4 linked regions of the Arabidopsis thaliana genome follow. The protein of the gene in region 4 interacts with the protein of the main gene of each other region in a pairwise test. Each region holds a gene or a part of one and is shown on either strand. Other genes may lie near its edges.

What was found.
Region 1: the proteins of AT2G02160 (region 4) and BBX9 interact in a two-hybrid assay, tested with the Arabidopsis thaliana proteins (one large-scale study listed by BioGRID).
Region 2: the proteins of AT2G02160 (region 4) and AT4G03250 interact in a two-hybrid assay, tested with the Arabidopsis thaliana proteins (one large-scale study listed by BioGRID).
Region 3: the proteins of AT2G02160 (region 4) and IAA16 interact in binary tests that used the Arabidopsis thaliana proteins (3 or more experiments, as listed by UniProt).

Annotation. Positions count from the first base shown.
Region 1 is NC_003075.7:8,709,230-8,713,419, reverse strand, and holds BBX9 (B-box type zinc finger protein with CCT domain-containing protein), read left to right. Parts: upstream 1-1,893; 5' UTR 1,894-1,935; exon of another isoform or gene 1,936-1,940; intron 1,941-2,243; 5' UTR 2,244-2,313; coding exon 2,314-2,802; intron 2,803-2,888; coding exon 2,889-3,271; intron 3,272-3,357; coding exon 3,358-3,478; 3' UTR 3,479-3,653; downstream 3,654-4,190. Other genes in the region: BBX30 (B-box type zinc finger family protein), read right to left, coding at 4,186-4,190.
Region 2 is NC_003075.7:1,423,125-1,428,602, reverse strand, and holds AT4G03250 (Homeodomain-like superfamily protein), read right to left. Parts: upstream 3,702-5,478; 5' UTR 3,554-3,701; coding exon 3,544-3,553; intron 3,065-3,543; coding exon 2,957-3,064; intron 2,874-2,956; coding exon 2,268-2,873; intron 2,093-2,267; coding exon 2,013-2,092; intron 1,867-2,012; coding exon 1,393-1,866; intron 1,298-1,392; coding exon 1,223-1,297; intron 1,115-1,222; coding exon 1,017-1,114; intron 932-1,016; coding exon 859-931; 3' UTR 541-858; downstream 1-540. Other genes in the region: FH (frataxin-like protein), read left to right, coding at 3,845-4,062, 4,152-4,224, 4,322-4,369, 4,469-4,563, 4,789-4,918.
Region 3 is NC_003074.8:1,287,606-1,292,878, reverse strand, and holds IAA16 (indoleacetic acid-induced protein 16), read left to right. Parts: upstream 1-1,987; 5' UTR 1,988-2,463; coding exon 2,464-2,666; intron 2,667-3,115; coding exon 3,116-3,387; intron 3,388-3,474; coding exon 3,475-3,610; intron 3,611-3,705; coding exon 3,706-3,767; intron 3,768-3,848; coding exon 3,849-3,886; 3' UTR 3,887-4,724; downstream 4,725-5,273. Other genes in the region: RALFL21 (RALF-like 21), read left to right, coding at 154-471. UniProt on the Arabidopsis thaliana protein: Aux/IAA proteins are short-lived transcriptional factors that function as repressors of early auxin response genes at low auxin concentrations.
Region 4 is NC_003071.7:552,543-557,684, reverse strand, and holds AT2G02160 (CCCH-type zinc finger family protein), read left to right. Parts: upstream 1-1,553; 5' UTR 1,554-1,785; coding exon 1,786-1,926; intron 1,927-2,312; coding exon 2,313-2,423; intron 2,424-2,520; coding exon 2,521-4,278; 3' UTR 4,279-4,599; downstream 4,600-5,142. Other genes in the region: AT2G02170 (Remorin family protein), read left to right, coding at 1-87, 170-623, 706-787, 884-1,090; EMB2794 (Tetratricopeptide repeat (TPR)-like superfamily protein), read left to right, coding at 5,060-5,142.

The sequences.
Region 1 (4,190 bases), on a different chromosome or scaffold from region 4:
ATATATGTTGAAATTGGTGATATTTAAGGTTTTTGTGAAAGAGATTTGTGATGTCTTAGTTTTATGGGATGTGGAAGGGGTTGAATATGGTGATGATACAAGAGTATTGTGGACTAGAGTTTCAGATCTGGGATTCTTCTCCCAGAAGTTGAAGATTAACCCTTGGCTGTCTGAGTATTAATTCCCCTTTCACCCAAAATCTTATCTTTTGATTGGTTTGAAGACAAATTTCTCTGTTATTGTTTTTTTTTGTTGGTTGATGTTTTTCCACTTATAAGCTTATGATGATAGAAAACAATTATCTTAGCGGATTTCAGTGAGGTTTTTCAATCAATGATCTGAATTTGTTACACACACTGAGGCTTTTTTTTTTTTTTAATGTTTGGCTTTTGTTTAGTTGGATTATTGTTAATAGGTTTGATTGATGTTTGTATGTACTTGTTTTGGGTTATAAAGCTGATGATGATAAAAACAATTATCTTAGCGGATTTCAGTGAGGTTTTTGAATCAATGAACTGAATTTGTTACACACACTGAAGCTTATTTGTTCTTTCAATGTTTTTTGTTTTGTTTTGTTGGATTACTGTTATGGGTTTGATGATGATGATGCAATGATGAGATGAAAGCACGAAGAGTGTGAGAAGAGCAGTGGGTTTACCGTGAGCTCTCCTTTAAAACGACTTCTCCTTCCACTGAGCATTTTTTATCAAAAATTTTGCCCTATTGAAGAAAGAGTTTTAGTGTTTTTTGTTTTTGTATTGGCGTCCATTACCAATTCTGAAGGATAAAAACAGTTCCTTCAGGTATAATGGCTTGTGACGCTATATTGGTTGTGGTATATCCTGATCTTTTTGCTTTTTTCCATGCCTTTTGATCCTGGAAATGCCTCGCACATTATATCAATTGGTTTTGTTTTTCCTCTTTTTTAATACCGGAAGAGATTAGCTAGTTATTCTTTGATTTTCAGTTGGTGGAAGGGCTTTATGAAAACAATTGGTGTGTTTAAATGTTATGTTTTCTTCACTACTTTTGCAAAATAAGTGGTTAACAAAACAATTGAAAACTATGAGCTGATTTTTGGACGAATAATGGATTTAGCGTTCCTATAGAATTGATTAACAAAACAATTGACTTATCAGGAAACAATTGTTTGGTCGAATGAGCTGCTTTTTGGACATCTAATGAAATCTTTTGGCAAACAAACAATGACAACCAGACTGGTCATGCCATGAGCGACCTTTTCAGCTAATGCCAGCAGTTACTGTCTGTTGAATTGTTTACAAGTACATTTAGCCTTTTTTGGCATGGAATGCATTGGGAGATGTTTCAAAAATAGTACATTTAGCCTTTTTACTGAGGCTGGTAAAAAATCGTAAACGAATATCAATCGTTGTCACAAAGTTTTCTCTCTTAAAACATGATCGCTCACTAGAATTTCAATCATTTAAGTGCTTCTAACATCTCATATTTTAAGTTGTGAAAACACACTTAGTAAAATTAGTGAGAAATAGATACAATAACTATCCATAACCACAGGTTAATGAAACCGGACTAGTATGCTGCAAACTCCTAGATCCATTAAACCAACACTCGGAATAAATTGCTTCGAACTAGTCTTATTACTCGGATGTTTTGAATAACAAGAAAAACGTGTTCAAAATTAATGACATTTACACGTTTTTTTATTAACAATTCTCGAAATTCTTGCGAGCCACAGAAAGTACCTAAAGAATCAAACAAAAACTCCGAATTGTATGGTCAACCACATTATGACATCAACAAAATCTAAGGAACAATAAAACCACACGTGACAAAAGATACCCCGCGTGGCAAACCCGCTTAACAAGGTGGACCCCACACAGGATAAAAACAGAGCAAAACCTTTTCTTCTCTGTTCTTTCTCATCTCCTTCTCACTGGACTCTCACACACCCTTGTAAAGCTTCTAATCTCTGGAACCCTGAAACATAAACAATTTTACACGATTATTGTTATACTCTTGTTTAGAAAAAACTCTGTAATTAACTGGTTATGAGTTTCTAGACATTGTGATTTTAGTACTGATTCGGTCTCGAGAATCCACATTTTCTTAGTTTGTGAGTGTTTCTCTAACATTCAAACACAACCATGTATTAGTCACAGTCACAGTCACACATTAAAAAGATACATGAACCTATAATGAATCGTAATTTTGTTTGATCTCTGAATGTTCTGTTTTTGTCTCACGATCCTTCTATGCTATAGGATTTTAGGTGTGTGTAGCGATTGGGATTGAGAAATCGTTATTTCTTTGGAGTTTTGTCTTCGAAGAAGTATGGAGGCTCGATGTGACTTTTGTGGAACCGAAAAAGCATTAATCTACTGCAAATCTGATTCGGCTAAACTTTGTTTAAACTGTGACGTTAATGTACACTCAGCGAATCCTCTGTCTCAAAGACACACGCGATCTCTACTCTGCGAGAAATGTTCCTTACAACCCACGGCAGTACACTGTATGAACGAAAATGTTTCTCTTTGCCAAGGATGTCAGTGGACCGCTAGTAACTGCACTGGTTTAGGACACAGACTTCAGAGTCTGAACCCTTACTCTGATTGTCCTTCTCCATCAGATTTCGGCAAGATCTGGTCTTCAACTTTAGAACCTTCTGTCACAAGTTTGGTCTCTCCATTTTCTGATACCCTGCTCCAGGAATTAGACGATTGGAATGGTTCATCAACTTCCGTGGTTACACAAACTCAGAACCTTAAAGACTATTCTTCTTTCTTTCCTATGGAATCTAATCTTCCAAAAGTGATAGAAGAGGTGACGTGTTGTTTAAGTAATATATCAAAATGTTTCATTTATGATAAAGAAGAATGTTTTTCATTTATATTCCGTTCTATATGCAGGAATGTTCTGGTTTGGATCTATGCGAAGGGATAAACTTAGATGATGCGCCGTTGAATTTCAACGCAAGCAATGATATAATCGGATGTTCATCACTTGACAATACCAAATGTTACGAGTACGAGGATTCTTTTAAGGAAGAGAATAACATTGGCCTTCCTTCATTACTGCTTCCTACTTTATCCGGGAACGTTGTACCGAACATGTCACTTTCGATGTCTAACCTCACAGGAGAAAGCAATGCGACTGATTACCAAGATTGCGGAATTTCACCAGGGTTTCTCATAGGAGATTCGCCATGGGAATCGAATGTTGAAGTTAGTTTTAATCCAAAATTAAGGGATGAGGCTAAAAAGAGATACAAACAAAAGAAATCAAAGCGCATGTAAGTTTTTGAGACACATAATCAGAGTCATTATCATGCTTTTAAAACATAATCTCATTGATATTTGTGGTACCAATTTCTTCTAGGTTTGGGAAGCAAATAAGATATGCATCACGCAAAGCCAGAGCTGATACGAGAAAACGGGTCAAAGGGAGATTTGTAAAATCTGGAGAAACTTTTGAGTATGATCCGTCACTGGTGATGTGAACTAGTGAATCTTCACTGCGGAACTAAAGAATAATCTGACTCCATCCACGGGATTAACAGTTTCTTGTCGGAGAAGTAACAAAAAAAAAACATAAAATTCTCTTCTTGAGAAAGTATACAAGATCAAACTACAAAGACTTAAAATCATCGCAAAGGTGATTCCAAAATGGAGATTAAAAAAAAAAAAAACTGAAAGTTGCTCTTTTTACTAGAGAATTTCCACTGTTTTTTGATGCAACCACAAAACCTACCGGTCATACAGGCATTAATTAGGCATACAGCTACGAGACGATCAGACAAAATCAGAAACCAAAAAACAAAACAAGAGTCGTTGACTCTTTCCTACTTATAGCTCCTTAATCTCAATTACATGTTAATCATAGAAAAATATATCTTCTTTGTGTTTTGGACCACTCTCCACCTTCCATTTCACTTGATTGTAATTTGTAACGTTGTATTGTTTTCCTAGTTAAGAAAAATAAAGCCAAAGAATAAAGGCAGATTATGTTTGCCATAGGAAGATTTGTTCTTGATTTCTTATAGCTTACTATTGGGACCGCATTATTTTACTATTAAATCAATATGTTTTCTAGGTGTTCATATATTACTTTTAAGCTTTAGAATGAAAATATACATTCTTAGAACATTTCCAGAGAAAAAACCCTACCAATATTTAATCTTAATTACGCGAAAAACAAAACATAAAATCAGA
Region 2 (5,478 bases), on a different chromosome or scaffold from region 4:
GCAAGTCAGATTACAAAAAGGAAAGAAGAAACAGAAAACAAAATCCATAAAGATCATCTTTTTCAATACCTACCGACAAAAATCTAATCAGCAATCAAAAACATCAACCGTTGGACGAAATTACGGAGACACAAAGGTCAACAAGTTCACAAAACACAAACCCGTAATAACGAAACACGAACAAGTGATGGAAAATATCGCAGGAACTAACACAGAATCGGAGAACAGTGGAATCGTCGTGAGAGAGAAGAAGAAGAAGAAGAGAGATTCTTACCAGGGAGGAAAAGGATTGGATTTGAAAATCCAGATGAATAATTGATTAAGCGTAAAGATTCGAAATCAGTAGCAGAGAAACCAAAAAAATTATCTTCAAAATTTGAGTTTGAGGCAAAGCAACGCTAACCCTAAAAGAAAAAGAAAAAAACCTTTTTTGGCCGAATCAAAATTGTACCACATACTTTCTACGAAAACTAGTCAACGGCTCTGATTTTTTCTCATGTGACGAAATCTCCTAGTCACACATTTCCGAACCGCCTTTTACGACTAAACCGGACTATCATAATATTTTGGGCCTAATTTGAGCTTTATTAATAAATGGGCCTTACTTTGGTTATTTTGTAATCACTGGGATTTACATACTCAATTCGGTCAAACCGGTAACGGTTTAGGAGCAAATTTAAACAAAAAAAGGCTCATTACTGGCTCACTGTATCTCTTTGGGGACCGTTTAGTTACCAAAATGAAGAGAGCTCTAACTTTTACCAATTACACGATGCAACATTTTCACATCCTAAACCGGTTTCATCATATATCTATACAAACCGGAATTTCCTAATCTTCCTTTGTACCTTTCTTTACTTAATCCATTGACGAGCTAGATTCGTCAGTCTCATCGTCCCCGCTTAAACTAGAAGGCAGTTCCACACCAGACCTACAAACATAACAGTATGATCCAATAAGCCGATTTGATATCTCTTTGGGACAATAAATGCATTACACAATGGTTGGTTACTAACCGATTTATCTGGCTTTTTCGTTCAAGAATCTCGCTGTATGATGATGATTTTGGTGCATATACTTGCTGAATATACCCATGTTTCACTCGTTTGGCAACCTATTAACATTCGTTAAAGGTCAGAACACGAACTTGATAGAGCCTCTAAACTTTGTTAAAATATACATCAATATCTATATTTTTAAGATAGTTAACCATCAAACTCACCGGTGGTTCATCAGTCGAATGCAATTTCTCTCTCTGCATTTTCATTTGATTCCTCTCCCCGTGATATATTCCTGCCTTTAAAAGAAGATATCACACAAAACACAAGTCATATTTCCATAAAAGGGCAAGAAAGGAACATGTAGACATGGAAGTATTAGACAAATCTTTACCATCCCAGAAGATGGACCTCTATCCATTGACTCAGGGGATCTGCTTCTACTCGGAGGTAACAGCTTCGAAGATTTAGTGAGATATCCCGTCTTGCGTCCGCCATTAGATATATTATTATCATAATCATGAGACTGATTGGTTTCAATATTGCTTCCAGAAAGATTTTGGACGTTGGCAACCAGATGGTTTCTCGACCCTTCAGCCCAACTTTTGGAACTTATCCAACCCTTCTTGCTGTTAGTTACAGGGATTTCCCGTGGTGAACCTTTGAATGTCTCTTTAAACGATTTGTGGCGAGGTACAGAATTATAGAAACTGGTAGAAGGGGATTTCAGTCTTGGTTCCCCAAAACTTTTCTTATCTCTTAGACCAGGCTCCATTCCAACCATTATGTTGTCATCATCATCATGCTCATCATCCTCTGAATCTGGATCTGGCGAATGCAACTTTGATTTACGAGCTAATTCATAGCTCTATAAAGACATTAAGACAGAAAACGAAAATATTAATAATACTTCAAAGAAAGTAAGATAATTTAGCCAAAGAATGTGATGGCAGACTAAGATTCTAGTTTATATTATCTTCATGGGTATGTAGTATACAGAAAATGTTCACTTACAGGACCAGGATTAAAGCTCTTCCTCGTTCCAAGTAAATGTGGAAGGTGAGGCCGTCTCTGATTCCCAACATATATTGGCTCTGACAAAACAGTTGATAGAAAAAGCAATCAAATCCGACTGGACATGGGTAAAGGCATTCACAATCTGACACACGAAGAAGATGGTTTTAGCTTCTCTGAGCCACTTACTCAATACTCATAACATCATAAACCAGAAAATTAAAGGTAAAGTTGAAACATTTTATCATGACTCACCGTGAACTATAGGATTAGTCTGAGGCTCAAATGCACCGGGAGGAAGAGGATCAAATTCAACCCCCAGAGGTGGACCATCCTCTTGGTATTGTCTTCCTAATTGTCTCTTTACGGCAGTGATAGCAAAATTCTCACTCTCTCCCTTCACTTTCAAGTATCCCGAAGGCTTATTATACCCATAGCTTCTCATGAACTGAGGATGCTGAATAACGTCTTTATGTGCAACATATCTAGAACTTTCCACATCGCGAATTCCATCTTTGCTAGAGACAAGATTCTTACGTAATGATGAGCTACGATCAGAAGATGTACTATCTTCACCATCAGCATTTCCCATATAAAGCCTTTGACTTTCAACTTCCCTAGGCTTGGGGTTCCAATAATCCGTTTGCTTTGTACTACCACATGAATCCTGTCGAAGCCCACTTCCACGATCCTGAAGAACAACGCTTGACCGATCTTGGCTCCCAATGGCATTCCCATCTTCTTTTACATGACGTTTGTCTTTTAACCTTCTATGGCAGAACCAACCTGAAACTTGCTTCTCAGTTAATCCAACTTCCTCTGCTAACTTGCCCTTCATTTCTTCAGTCGGATACTTATGCTCTGTAGAAAAACCAAATCACACCTGTAAAGCATATACAACTTGGTATAAAGGAACATATGCAAACAACAAAGCCATAATTTACCATTGTAGAAATTCTCAAGCGCCATAACTTGCATAGGAGTCTTAAGCTTCCGTTTTTTGCTGTTTTCTGTAGAAGCTTTATCGCCATCAGCGGTCGCTTCGCCTGAATCTATCGAAAATAGCACATAAAAATCAAAAACATAAGAAGATAATAGTGAAACACGGACACCATTCAATAACCAAGAGATGCAAAGCCCTGACCAAAATCAATTTCATTTTACAATCATGCTTTGTGTATTTAGAAATGTTGCTAGTAATTCCGAAATTCAGGTAAAACATCTACACAAGCTTCACATAAAAGGGTTTAATTTCAGAATTATGGCTCTTTCTCTCATCAGCCAAATACTTCTAAACCCAATCAAAACGAACGAAAACTTTGGAATTCCTTAGCTTGAATAATTAGTAGTACCATAAAACAAACCAAAAAAGGCTTAAAATTTCCAATGCCATTGATGAATTTCGCTAATTAAAACTACAAAAACTGGGAGTTGCATTGTAATTCGACGAACTCGGGATCATTAAAAACTATTCTCTCACGTAAACTCGCAGGAAGACAGAGATTGAAATAGAGGAAAAAACGAATTTCACCTGAGTGCATAGCGAAAATTCCCAGAGATTGAAGGAACAAAACCTAATCAGCTCCCAAAAACCCAGATTTTTTTCTTTCTCCTTCTTCAAAATTCTGGTTTTTTCTTATGAGAGGAGAAGAAAACTCTTCTTCGCACACAAATGACAAATCTCTTGAGAACCATACCGGTTTCAGTAAACCGGAACATGGGAAATACGTGAACCGGGTAAATCTAAATTTGGGCCTTATTGTGGGCCTAAATTGGACAACGAAGGAATAAGAAGAAGAGAGGCGTCGAATGTTTCTTGTGACAGAACCGCCATGGCTACAGCTTCAAGGTTTCTTCTACGGAAATTGCCGAGGTTTCTCAAGCTGTCTCCAACTCTTCTCCGTAGCAATGGCGTAAGAGTTTCAAGCAATCTGATTCAAGATTCCATAGAACCGTTGGATTCCTTCTGGAGAATAGGATCTCGAATCCGCCATGATTCTTTGACTACCAGAAGCTTCTCTTCTCAAGGTCCTGCTTCTGTCGATTACAGGTACTTTAATATTCTCCATTTTGATCTCCTTTATTGTATCTGAATCGTTAATTTCATGAGAATATGAACAAAGTGGAAGAAAAAAACAGTTCGGTTTTGCAGGAGGAAGAGTTTCACAAATTAGCCAACTTCACAATTAATCACCTTCTTGAGAAAATTGAGGTATTTGAAGCTGGAACCTTTTTCTCTCTAGGGTTCTTCGTTTTACTTGAGATTGCAATAGCTTACACTATGTTCTACTTGCATGATTCATGTTCAGGATTATGGTGATAATGTTCAGATTGATGGTTTCGACATAGATTATGGGGTAAGGATTAAACTCTTTTAAGCAATTTAAGATCTTGTTCATATTTCTGGAAATCTATGTGTACTTATTATAGTCAGTCCTTTTGGCTGTTTCCAACAGAATGAAGTTCTTACCCTTAAGCTTGGATCTTTAGGCACTTATGTACTGAATAAGCAAACTCCAAATCGACAAATCTGGATGTCTTCACCTGTGAGGTAAAGATTCTTTCTTGCCTTTTGAAAGTTGCTAACTTTAGGCGCCTAGATTGAATTTCGCATCTGGATTATCATGTTCTGCTCTCTCTTCTGATTTTTGTACTCATGATATTTGGAGAAATGAAACTGTTTATGACTGTATAGTGTTGTTGCTCTTGACTTTGTGCTTCCACATCTTAGATTCACATTAATGTAATCTTCATTCTTCCTTTTGTCTCGGTGCAGTGGCCCTTCTAGATTTGACTGGGACCGTGATGCTAATGCGTGGATATATCGGCGAACTGAAGCAAAGTTGCATAAACTCCTGGAAGAGGAGTTAGAGAATCTATGTGGTGAACCAATCCAACTCTCATAAAGAAGGCTTTAAAACAATATTTGTGAGCGAAAGGGTTTCATCTATGAACTTGAAACTGCTATACCCTGTTAAAGGTATATCTATGAAACATCCAGAGGAATAAACAAACAAGGCAGAAGACAAAGTTGTTTTAGTGTGAAAACTGATTAGTGTTTCTGAATCTATTTTTAAACAGTAATGTCTCATAGTGACATTGTTGCAAGTCTCTTTGTTTAATCAGAGCTGAAGCTGCCTTTTACAGGTTTACGCGTTTTAGATGAAAACATTTCTTTTGAACGACAAAAGTCCTACATTTGTCAAAACTCCTCGAATCTCACAATAATTTCGGAAAAAAGTTGGTTAACAATGTTTGCAGGGTCAATCTCCACTTCTTCGAAAGCACCAATAAGGACAAAAGATTGACTTCTTCAACATCATTGTCCCCTTTTTCCAGTAATTCACGTTTAGGTACCCCTATGTCTCTCTCATTGTCAAAAAATACTCTAAAAGTACGTATTATTCAAAAAATGTTGGATCTTTTTGAACTATTTAGAGATCCATCGCGGAAAAAGTTGACACAA
Region 3 (5,273 bases), on a different chromosome or scaffold from region 4:
TACCGGTCAATTCAACATCCTATTGTAATTTCCTTTTAAGTAAAAGTTGTATAAGACTCTTTCACAATTATTTATTCACTATAAATACCACGAACTGTACCATTCTTACCAACAAATATATATTTCTCCCACACACATAAATAAACACAAATCATGAGCAATATGAAAATAACAAATAGGTTTATGCTAGTGGCAACATTCATAGCATGTGTGTTCATAAGCAGCATGAACATGACGGTTGGAAAAGTAATTGGGTATCCAGGGTTGAAGCCTGATCTTCCTTGTGATCATCATCGGTATCCTTCTGCATGTGCACCCTCCGAACAACCAGTGAATCCTTACAGACGGGGATGTAGTAAAATACATAGATGTAGACGCGATTCACCCCCTGCACCAATTTCTAGAAAAATGTTAATACGAGGTCAATTAATTTATAATAATGCATATAATGCATATATCCAATATCCATGAATAATAAATTTATGGGTTTGGTTGTGTTTAAGCCATGTTGTTCTCTACATCTACACATTTACCTTAATATTTTTCAGCATGTATTATTGTATTACGATATATACAGTGGTGAAATCTTGTTTTATCATTCAGTTTTGTTCGATTTAAGCTCCTTCTTATTAATGGTAAAATAAAACAAATCAGATCACATATATTCATAGCATTTAAGGACCTAGTGTGTCACACGTGTGAACCTGTAATGTTTGTTATACACAACAAGACAATGATTTTTGACTGGGCCCAGCCCACACGAGGGTCCTAACATCTCTCAACAGGGTTGGTGTTTTTGGGCCCAGGTGGACCCTTTTATCTCATTCTCCTCCTCCTCCTCACGTTTATATGAAATTTTTCACCTATATAAATTTAATCAATTTTATTTATATAAAATTCTTGACATGTAGATTATAAGATTAAGATGAAGTCGTTGTCAATTTGGACCTTCAATTTTTTATGTCAGATTCTTCCATCGTAATCATGCATGGGGGCATGAACATGATGATGTTTAGCAATAAATGATGTTGATGATCATTATGCTGTTATAATTTTATTATATATAATTTGCATGGAGCCATTTATTTATCAACGCTATTATTATTATGCTCCTTTGTGAAAAAATACTACATTACCATATTTTAGGGTCGACGAAATGGGCATGACATGTACCGCCGCCCATACCACATATGGTTGACCATTTACTGTTGAGTTAGTCGTGTTTGGCCCTCCCCACCGAAGATTATATAACCCAATACACATAAGAATTAGTTAGCATTTGCACCTGCATAGAAAAAAATTAGCACTAGATTAAATTATTCCCAGCATTATACTATATTATAATCATTGATCGGAAGGAATGTTTCCTAATTACATAATTGGTAATCATGTTTAACGCACAATTACTTGAATTAACATGAATCCCTAATTATCTATTGACTTCACAATAATCCATGAATTTAGAGCCAAGACAAGGCCACAGGGGCACATGGGAAGTATAGTACGAAAATGCTATGGCAGACCAGGACTTTTAGTTCGTTTAAACTTTAAAATTTATTTGAATTCAATTAGTATTTGTCGGCATTTTATAATATAAGAAATTGAAAATAGTCTTAAAAAAAGGCAAGCATAGGCCAATAGGCCTTGTGAATGGCGGACCCCATAAGAAGGACAACGAACGAATCGAATCCACGGGAATCAAAACACATGTTTGAAGCTGACCACTTTCGATTTCTTTCCCATCTGTGGGCTCCATTATGTCTTAGCTGTCATTTTTTAATTCCATTTTCATATAAACCATCACCAATTAAATAAAAATAATCTCCGACAAAACACTCTTTATTTATATATTTAGTCTTTTTCTTCTTTTTTTTCTTTGCTATTATTTTTCATCAAATTGATATTTCTGTTTTTGATATTTTTTCAAAAGACTCGAATATCTTTTGCCGTAAAAACTGATTAAAGTACTAAAAAGAAGAGGTATACCTTTTTATGCGAGTGGTAAAAATGATTCATATTTCAAGTTTGATTAGAATTTATTTTGGGTGGATAAATTCGACACAGAAAAGGAGAGACTGTGCCAAGTTGGCCTTTGCCCACTGGCTTGGCCGCAATTATTCTCAGGAAAATGACGCCATTCGTGACATCATTCTCTCCCGACAACACTCCTTACGGTCCAACCAATCCCAGCATCCACCTGGCAACATCACCTCCGTTCAAATAATCATCCTCAATGATCAATTCCATATATAATTTTATACCACACACGATCCAATATTTAGCCCTTTGTTTCTCTACACACATCTCACATCCCCCTATCTCTCTCTCTCTTCAAACGTTTTAGTTCCCCAAAAAAATATCAAAAGAACTAAAAGAAAAACCCTAGAAGCCGAAGAATCTCCTACTCGTTGTCGATCGGATCACCTAACTAATTACTCGTTGATAATCATTATATCGAGAAATATGATTAATTTTGAGGCCACGGAGCTGAGATTAGGGCTACCGGGTGGGAATCACGGAGGAGAAATGGCTGGAAAAAATAATGGTAAAAGAGGATTTTCTGAGACTGTTGATCTCAAACTGAATCTTTCATCGACGGCTATGGATTCAGTTTCCAAAGTCGATTTAGAGAATATGAAGGAGAAGGTCGTAAAACCACCAGCCAAGTAAGAAACTGAATTTCAATCTCTATTTCAACTAATAATATTGTCTTCTAGGTTCGGTAAAATTAGGTTATACTAGGCGGTCATTATGTAGAGATGTATACGCTTTAACATGATTTCTAGCTAGGTTAGGGAACTCGAACGGAATAATTATGCTGATACTTCTCCTAAGATCTTTGTTTTTTATTTGGTTTTGCTCCATGTTTCAATTGTAGTTAGGTTGAGAGTCTGTTTGATTATTTTTTTGTCGGGAAGAACTAGAAAAATACAAAACATAAGGAATCTTTCTTTATCTACCAAAAAGATTAAAGATTAAATAAACTTTTGGACAACTACAACCACCTAACATCCGACACGTGTAGAACAACTAGATCATTTACAAACATTTTACAAAAAAAAGAAGTAATGAGTATTATTGAAATTAAAAAAAAAAAATCATTACGAAATTTCAGGGCACAAGTTGTGGGATGGCCACCGGTACGATCTTTCCGCAAGAACGTCATGTCCGGCCAAAAACCGACCACCGGAGATGCCACCGAAGGAAACGATAAGACTTCTGGCAGCAGTGGAGCCACCTCATCCGCCTCCGCATGTGCCACCGTGGCTTATGTGAAGGTTAGCATGGACGGTGCACCGTACCTACGGAAAATTGACTTGAAACTCTACAAAACTTACCAAGATCTCTCCAACGCCTTAAGCAAAATGTTTAGCTCTTTTACCATAGGTAAATAAAAATTGACAATATATCTATCTACTAAAACATGATCCTTTTTATCATATATTGTTTGAAATTTGAAATTTTATTTTTCAGGCAACTATGGACCACAAGGAATGAAAGATTTCATGAATGAGAGTAAATTGATCGATCTTCTAAACGGATCAGATTATGTTCCAACATATGAAGATAAAGATGGCGACTGGATGCTTGTAGGAGACGTACCGTGGGAGTGAGTATTTTTATATCTTTAAATTTATATATGAATTATTATTATAAATACGTCTATACAAAATATTTATTTACATGTTGTTTGGACTATTTTAGGATGTTTGTTGATTCATGCAAACGTATACGAATAATGAAGGGATCAGAAGCAATCGGACTTGGTTAGTATTGTTTAATCCAAAACTGGTGGTGTAAAATTATACTATGAATCTTTGCTAATACTAATTTTCTATATATTGCAGCTCCAAGGGCATTAGAAAAGTGCAAGAACAGAAGTTGAGTTCTCGACGACATTTCGTGTTCTTACCTAAAAAAGGAAGAAAGCCTGTTTCGATCGGTTGGATATCTCGAACCGAGAAAGCTAAACCGGCTCGAAACTATTGTTCCGAGCAAGGAGTTTGCTTATAATATTAATTAATAATAATATTAATATTGTGGTGTATTACATTTTAAAAAATTAAATCGTTTTTGTTATATGTATTATATACATATATTAATATGTATATTTAATTAGGTTGCATCTATTTCCGTTAAAACCAACTTTTGTTTTTACGCATTATCGTGTTGTCTATATGGTCTGTGTCCGTAAGGCATCTTAATGTGTTACTTTGACGTACCAAATTATTACTTACATTATTTCATTTCTCAACAATCTTTTTTTATCCAACATTTTCAACCACCTTAAATTATACCTTTTTGTTTGTTTATTCTTTATTTTAGTAACTTTTCAATAAGTGGAGCTAAATGACATGAGATGGTTAACAATCGTAAAACCAACAAACGGAAGATTAGTAGTGCGGATCTTTTTGTATCAATGTAACTCGAAGACCAATTATTGTCGTGCGTATATATAAGGTTGGCCTCAACAGGATCCAATTGGTGTTTAGTGTCTATTTCTTTCTTTTTTAATAAGGTTGGCCTGGCCTCAATTATTGTTTTTTTTTATTTCTAATATTACATTTATCAATTTTTGGTGTTTTTTCGGTGAAACACAAATGAAAAAACTTTAAATAGATCAAGGTAATGTGGGTGGTGGAAAGGGCAAGAGCATGTGGATAATGTAGAGTTGTTGGGGGACAATATTTTAATGAATTCCGAGTAAATTAATAATGTCTTTAATATGTATGCTCCATTATTGATGCTTTACGCTGTCATCGACATCCATTGCCTCAACAAACAATGGTTGATAATGATGATATTTGTTTTATTTATTATTTATCTGATTTTTTAGTAAATTTGATCTAGTTTGTATCCTTGGTTGTCAAATTCACCACATGTATTTACTTGTTTGTAGAATACTTAGTTCAATATAAATTGGCTGATTTTGCTCTCGTTGTGAATTACAACTTGTAACTTAACAAGTACAAAATGCACAAAAGATGGTTCTCAAAAAACAGATTCACAAAAGATGATTACAAGAAGATGAAAGATACACAAAAATAAACAAGAAGCACAGCTTCGTCCCAACAATAATTAAGTAATTTGGGGGGAAAAACATTTTGGGCCATGGTTAACACTAGGGAAAAAAAATTGGGGCCTTACATTTTCTCATAATAATGGGCTTTTCATCAATTTTCTTAAATATTAATGGGCCTTTGGCCCGATAACAGCTACCCTATCCATTTGGTCCGGGCACTCTAGAATACTCTCTTCGCTCTTCTCTTTCT
Region 4 (5,142 bases):
GGGAAGTTGATTCGTACACTACCGTGGATTCATATGTCAAACCGGTTCTTATGGTTGAGAACTCTATTGTAGAATCAGCAACTGAAGGTGGTGTTAGCTAGCTCTTTGAGTTATTCAGTTTGTATGCTCTATTTATCTTCTAAAGCCAATTTTACTTGCTTTCTTGCAGTTAATCTCAGCCGTCATGACTCGTCAGTCGCAACTGCGTTTGCTCAACCGCCTTCAACGGCAAGGTCTGTGTCAATGAGAGACATGGGAACTGAAATGACTCCTATAGCGAGCCAAGAACCTTCTAGAAACGGGACACCGATTAGGGCAACAACGCCAATACGAAGTCCTATATCTTCTGAACCTTCAAGTCCAGGCAGACAAGCATCAGCTTCTCCTATGAGTAACAAGGAACTGTCAGAGAAAGAGCTTCAAATGAAAACTAGGAGAGAGATAATGGTGTTGGGTACTCAACTTGGTAAATTTAACATTGCTGCTTGGGCTAGCAAGGAGGATGAAGATAAAGACGCATCCACATCATTAAAGACCAAAGCTTCTCTACAAACTTCTAAAAGTGTTTCTGAAGCTCGTGCTACAGCGTGGGAGGAAGCGGAAAAAGCTAAGCACATGGCTAGGTAGTCCAAAGTTGAATTGTTTGTCATAGTCCTCTAGTTATTCTCGAAACTTTAAGCTTATGATGAGTTCTGTAATCTCCAGGTTCAGACGCGAAGAGATGAAGATTCAAGCATGGGAGAATCATCAGAAGGCGAAATCTGAAGCCGAGATGAAGAAAACCGAGGTAAACTACACTAACATAGCTACGTAAGTTCAAGTCATGATTGTGAACAAACTTGGAAAAACATGAATGATGATGGTGGAGTTCTTGATATTGTAGGTTAAAGTTGAGAGGATTAAGGGACGAGCACAAGACCGGTTGATGAAGAAACTCGCTACAATCGAGCGCAAAGCAGAGGAAAAGCGAGCAGCGGCTGAAGCAAAGAAGGATCATCAGGCAGCTAAAACAGAGAAACAAGCTGAACAAATCCGAAGAACAGGCAAAGTACCTTCATTGTTGTTCTCTTGCTTTAGCTTTTGTTCTTAAATCCAATCCTATTGTGAATGTGATGTTGTTAATTCTCAAGAACACATCTTTCTATCATCATTTGTATAATAAAAGCTTTGAAAAACTTATTTCTTGTGATCTTTTAGTTGCTTTGTACATCTTCAAATTTTGGTTTTGAGAGATCTTCGAATTACTCGGTTCAAGATGTCCTTACCAAAGTGAAAACCAAAGTTTTGATTTTGGTTTGGATTTAATTTTGGTTAGATTTCCTTACCAATGTTTGATTGTAAAAGATCTACCAATCGGTTTACAATTTTGGTTCAAGTTCGGTTTAAATCACCTTATCATTGTCTATTTCACAACATTCCAAAGTCGCTGGTTCCATCAGAAGTTATAATATCAAGGCAAACAATATGGCTAACAAATAAACCAATAATAAATCCCCACGTGTCAGTATTTGATTGATTACAAATAAACCGAACTTGATCTATTGATATTTCCCATCACATAAGAAAAAAAAAGAGCCAAAAAAAAAAACTTTTAGGCTTAGCTTTAAAGGGCACACACACACAGTCGCGAGTTTCTCTCTGGTGCGCTCTTTGTGGCGGCTCGTCTTCTTCTTCTTCTTCCACGGGACTCTCTCTGAATCGGTGATTTTCGATCTTCCTAGGGTTTCGATCTGAAACCTTGCGATCTACTTGAAAGAGAGATTCAGAAATTTCCAAGTAATAATAATGTTTGCGCCTGCGACTCAACCGCAACAGCAACATGAGCAGAAGAAGCAATCAGAGACTGTTTCATCTGCTGAAGAAGATGCTTTGAAGTGGAACACCGATTGCGTTTACTTTCTCGCTTCTCCTTTAACCTGCAAGAAGGTAATTGATTTTTGATTATTGTTTCGCTTAGATCTTATCCAGTTTCTGCTTCAATTAGGGTTTTGGATTTGAGATCTCAAGTTTCTTTCACCCGATTTCAAGTTTCTCTGTGTTTTTGTGTCCCTCGAAGCTATCTATACATACTTCACTTCTCCATCTGCTTAATTTTGGTGCGAGATTTAGATCTGGTGATTTCGAACCTCGTGATTCTAAGTATTGTTGTTTCTTAGGGCTTCTTGTTAGCTAGATTGAAAATTACATATACAAAGCTTTATAAGGATGTTCTGATAAAGGAGATTTTCATGTTCTGTGAATATGATTTTTGCTCGATGTGTATGTTTATGCTGAAGAACGATTCTTATGGTTTCTTCCTTTTTTGCTTACAGGGACCTGAATGCGAGTATCGCCACAGTGAGTATGCGCGTATGAACCCGAGGGATTGCTATTATTGGTTGAATGGAAACTGTTTGAATCCCAAATGTGGATTTCGGCATCCTGTGAGTTTACTTTCTTCCTCAATAGATAGTCTCTGCTTGAGCTTCTTGAGTTGTATTATCAAAGTGTGCTTATGTTTGTGGTTTTGTTTTCTTACAGCCTTTGGAGGGATTGTTGGGAAATCAAGGAGGTGCTCCTGCTGTTTCTGTACAGCCAATACATGCAACCGCGCAGCATCCTAGTGTTGCAAAACAGCCTGTTCCATGTCTGTTCTTTCAAAAAGGCATGTGTATGAAAGGAGATATGTGTTCGTTCTTGCACACGCCGAATCCTGCTGCGTATAAAAAACAGCATCCTGTAGAAGCTAAGCCTGCTACTGATCCTCAGTGTTCTAAAAAGCCAATTGAAAATAACACTGAGGAGAAGAAACTTCCTGATGTTAATCTCTCAAAGGTGGTTAAAGGACATACTGACATATCGGCTGCACCAAGAGTCGCTTCTACTGGACTAAGGGATAGTAGAAGTGTAGAGGGATACATTCCAAACCATGTGGGATATGAGCCTGTTGTGCAGAGAAAGGGTCCAGGATTCCCTTCTTTTACTGAAGGAGGCCATTCTACTCAGTTGCTTCAGAAATATGGATCTGATGATAATAACAGTTTCCACAATGGTAAGGATGCAGATGACGTTTTAAGAGAGTCGTCTCCTGGGTTTGATGTTCTTGTGGATAATGAGGCTGGAGATTCTGAGTATTATCATGTTGAAGATCGATATGGACGTAGAAGTCAGGAGAGAGGGAACTCAGAGTATGACCCTGATTTCAGTGCAATTGCTGATGGTGATAAAGAAGCATTACGTGAACAACGTTTTGATTCATATGATCGGAGGGAAGACAGGGGATGGGGCCATCGTCGAGTTTCTTCTGAGAGAGAGGATCGTTTGGACAGAAGGGTTTACGCAGAAGATGAGAGATCAGAGAACATACTGGAATCGGATCTGAGATATCGTTTGGCTAAGCAGAGAAAAGGCAATGGTATGAGATTATCAGTAGGAGGCCATGACTATGCTGCTCCTGACTCTTCGATGGACAGAGGATATAGAGAGTCTCGTAGGGATACACCGAGGGAAAACTCCATTAGCAGTAGTCGTCTTCAGGGTAGAATTAAGCTTCGTGAGAGAAGCAATGGCGAAGAGGGTCACCACTTTGACAGGAGAAGTGAGAGGGGAAGGGACAGAAGCGAGTTACCTTCTCAGGGTAGACTCCGAGATAGAATTAAGGGTAGGTTAGAGGAAAACCATAGTGGTAATCAGGAAAGAGGTTTCGGGGCTCCATGGGCGAGAAGAAGAGAAATGGAAGACGAAAGAAAATCAGCTCCTAAAAGCAGCAGAGAGGAAAGTAAGCCAGAGCCATCTCTTGGGAAGAGGAAAAGCTTTGAAGAGGATCATCATAGTCATAAGCGATCAAGGGATTCATTTGCAGCTCCATTGCCTTTCAGTGAGATTCTCAAGAGAAAAAAAGCGGCCGCATCTGGTGGTAGCAGAAACAACAACAAGGACGAGACGATATCGAAAGAGGAAGCTGGAGATGAGATCAAACTCATAACCGAAGAGAAAACCGAGGTTGTCTCTGAACCCAAAGCTGAAGTAGAAGAAGAAGGAACGGTTATGGAGGAAGAAGAAATTGTTGGGGAGGAAGTGTATGAAGGAAATGAAGACGAGCAAGCTTATGAAGGCGATGAGCTAAACGGAGAGTACTATTACGAAGAAGGATATGAAGAAGAGGGAGGAGAATACGCTTACGAAGAAGGTGAAGAAGTAGTTTACGCGGCTGAGGAAGGAGAAGAAGAAGCAACAGAAGGAGGTGAAGGTGAGGGTGAAGAAGACATTGAGAAGAAGACCGTTGAGATGTTGTCATAAAAGAAGAAAGAGTAACACAGAAAAAAGCTTTTGCTCCTTTCCTCTCTCTCTCTCTCTCTGCTTAATGCAAATGGAGAGAAGAAGTCGTAGAGCAAATAATACGAGTCGCTTTTATCTTTGGCTTGGCACTGAGTTTTAGTCGCCATTTTTTCTTACTGTGATTTCTTAAATTGTAACACTAGAGAAGAAAGAAAAGAAACAATGGTACAAGTACACCATATCATATTTCTGAGTTTTACTGTTTTCTAATCTGTTTTGATATATTACTTTTTCCTCAAATTAAAAAGTATTTACAGTAAATAACTTATTTTAGCTTTTAACACCTTTTATCATTATTGTTTTTGCACTTGCATACCATGAATGATGTAATACCACTTTAGCATTATTGTTTTTGCCCTTTCCATAACATGAGTAATTATGTAACTGATTTCCACCAATCAACTTTAAAGTATTTACGAATTTAGTCGACCAATCTAATTAACCCTGAGTTAAAAAATGTTATGAGAAAAAGAAGACTGGGCCCAGAATTATAACTTTTGGGCCTATGTAGCCCGTTTCCAAAGGCCCATAAATCATTATTTTACAAACAAGAACAACAACAGGTAAAGAAATAGACTTGGTGGAAAAAAGCAACAAAACCCAGAGTTCTTCATAAACCCTACTTTCTTCTTCTTCTTCTCCTTCCTTCCTCTTCAGTAGAATAGTTGAATACCATAGAATACAATGTCTCTGAGTTAAACCATGAGGCTCATTCTATTCACTTTTAACTTTTTTCCTGAAAATGTTCTGTTCTCTTCGCAATTTTCTTCACGTTAATCGCAGATTCCCTCGCCATGTAAGCCCTTCTTCTTCTTCCCTCTCTCA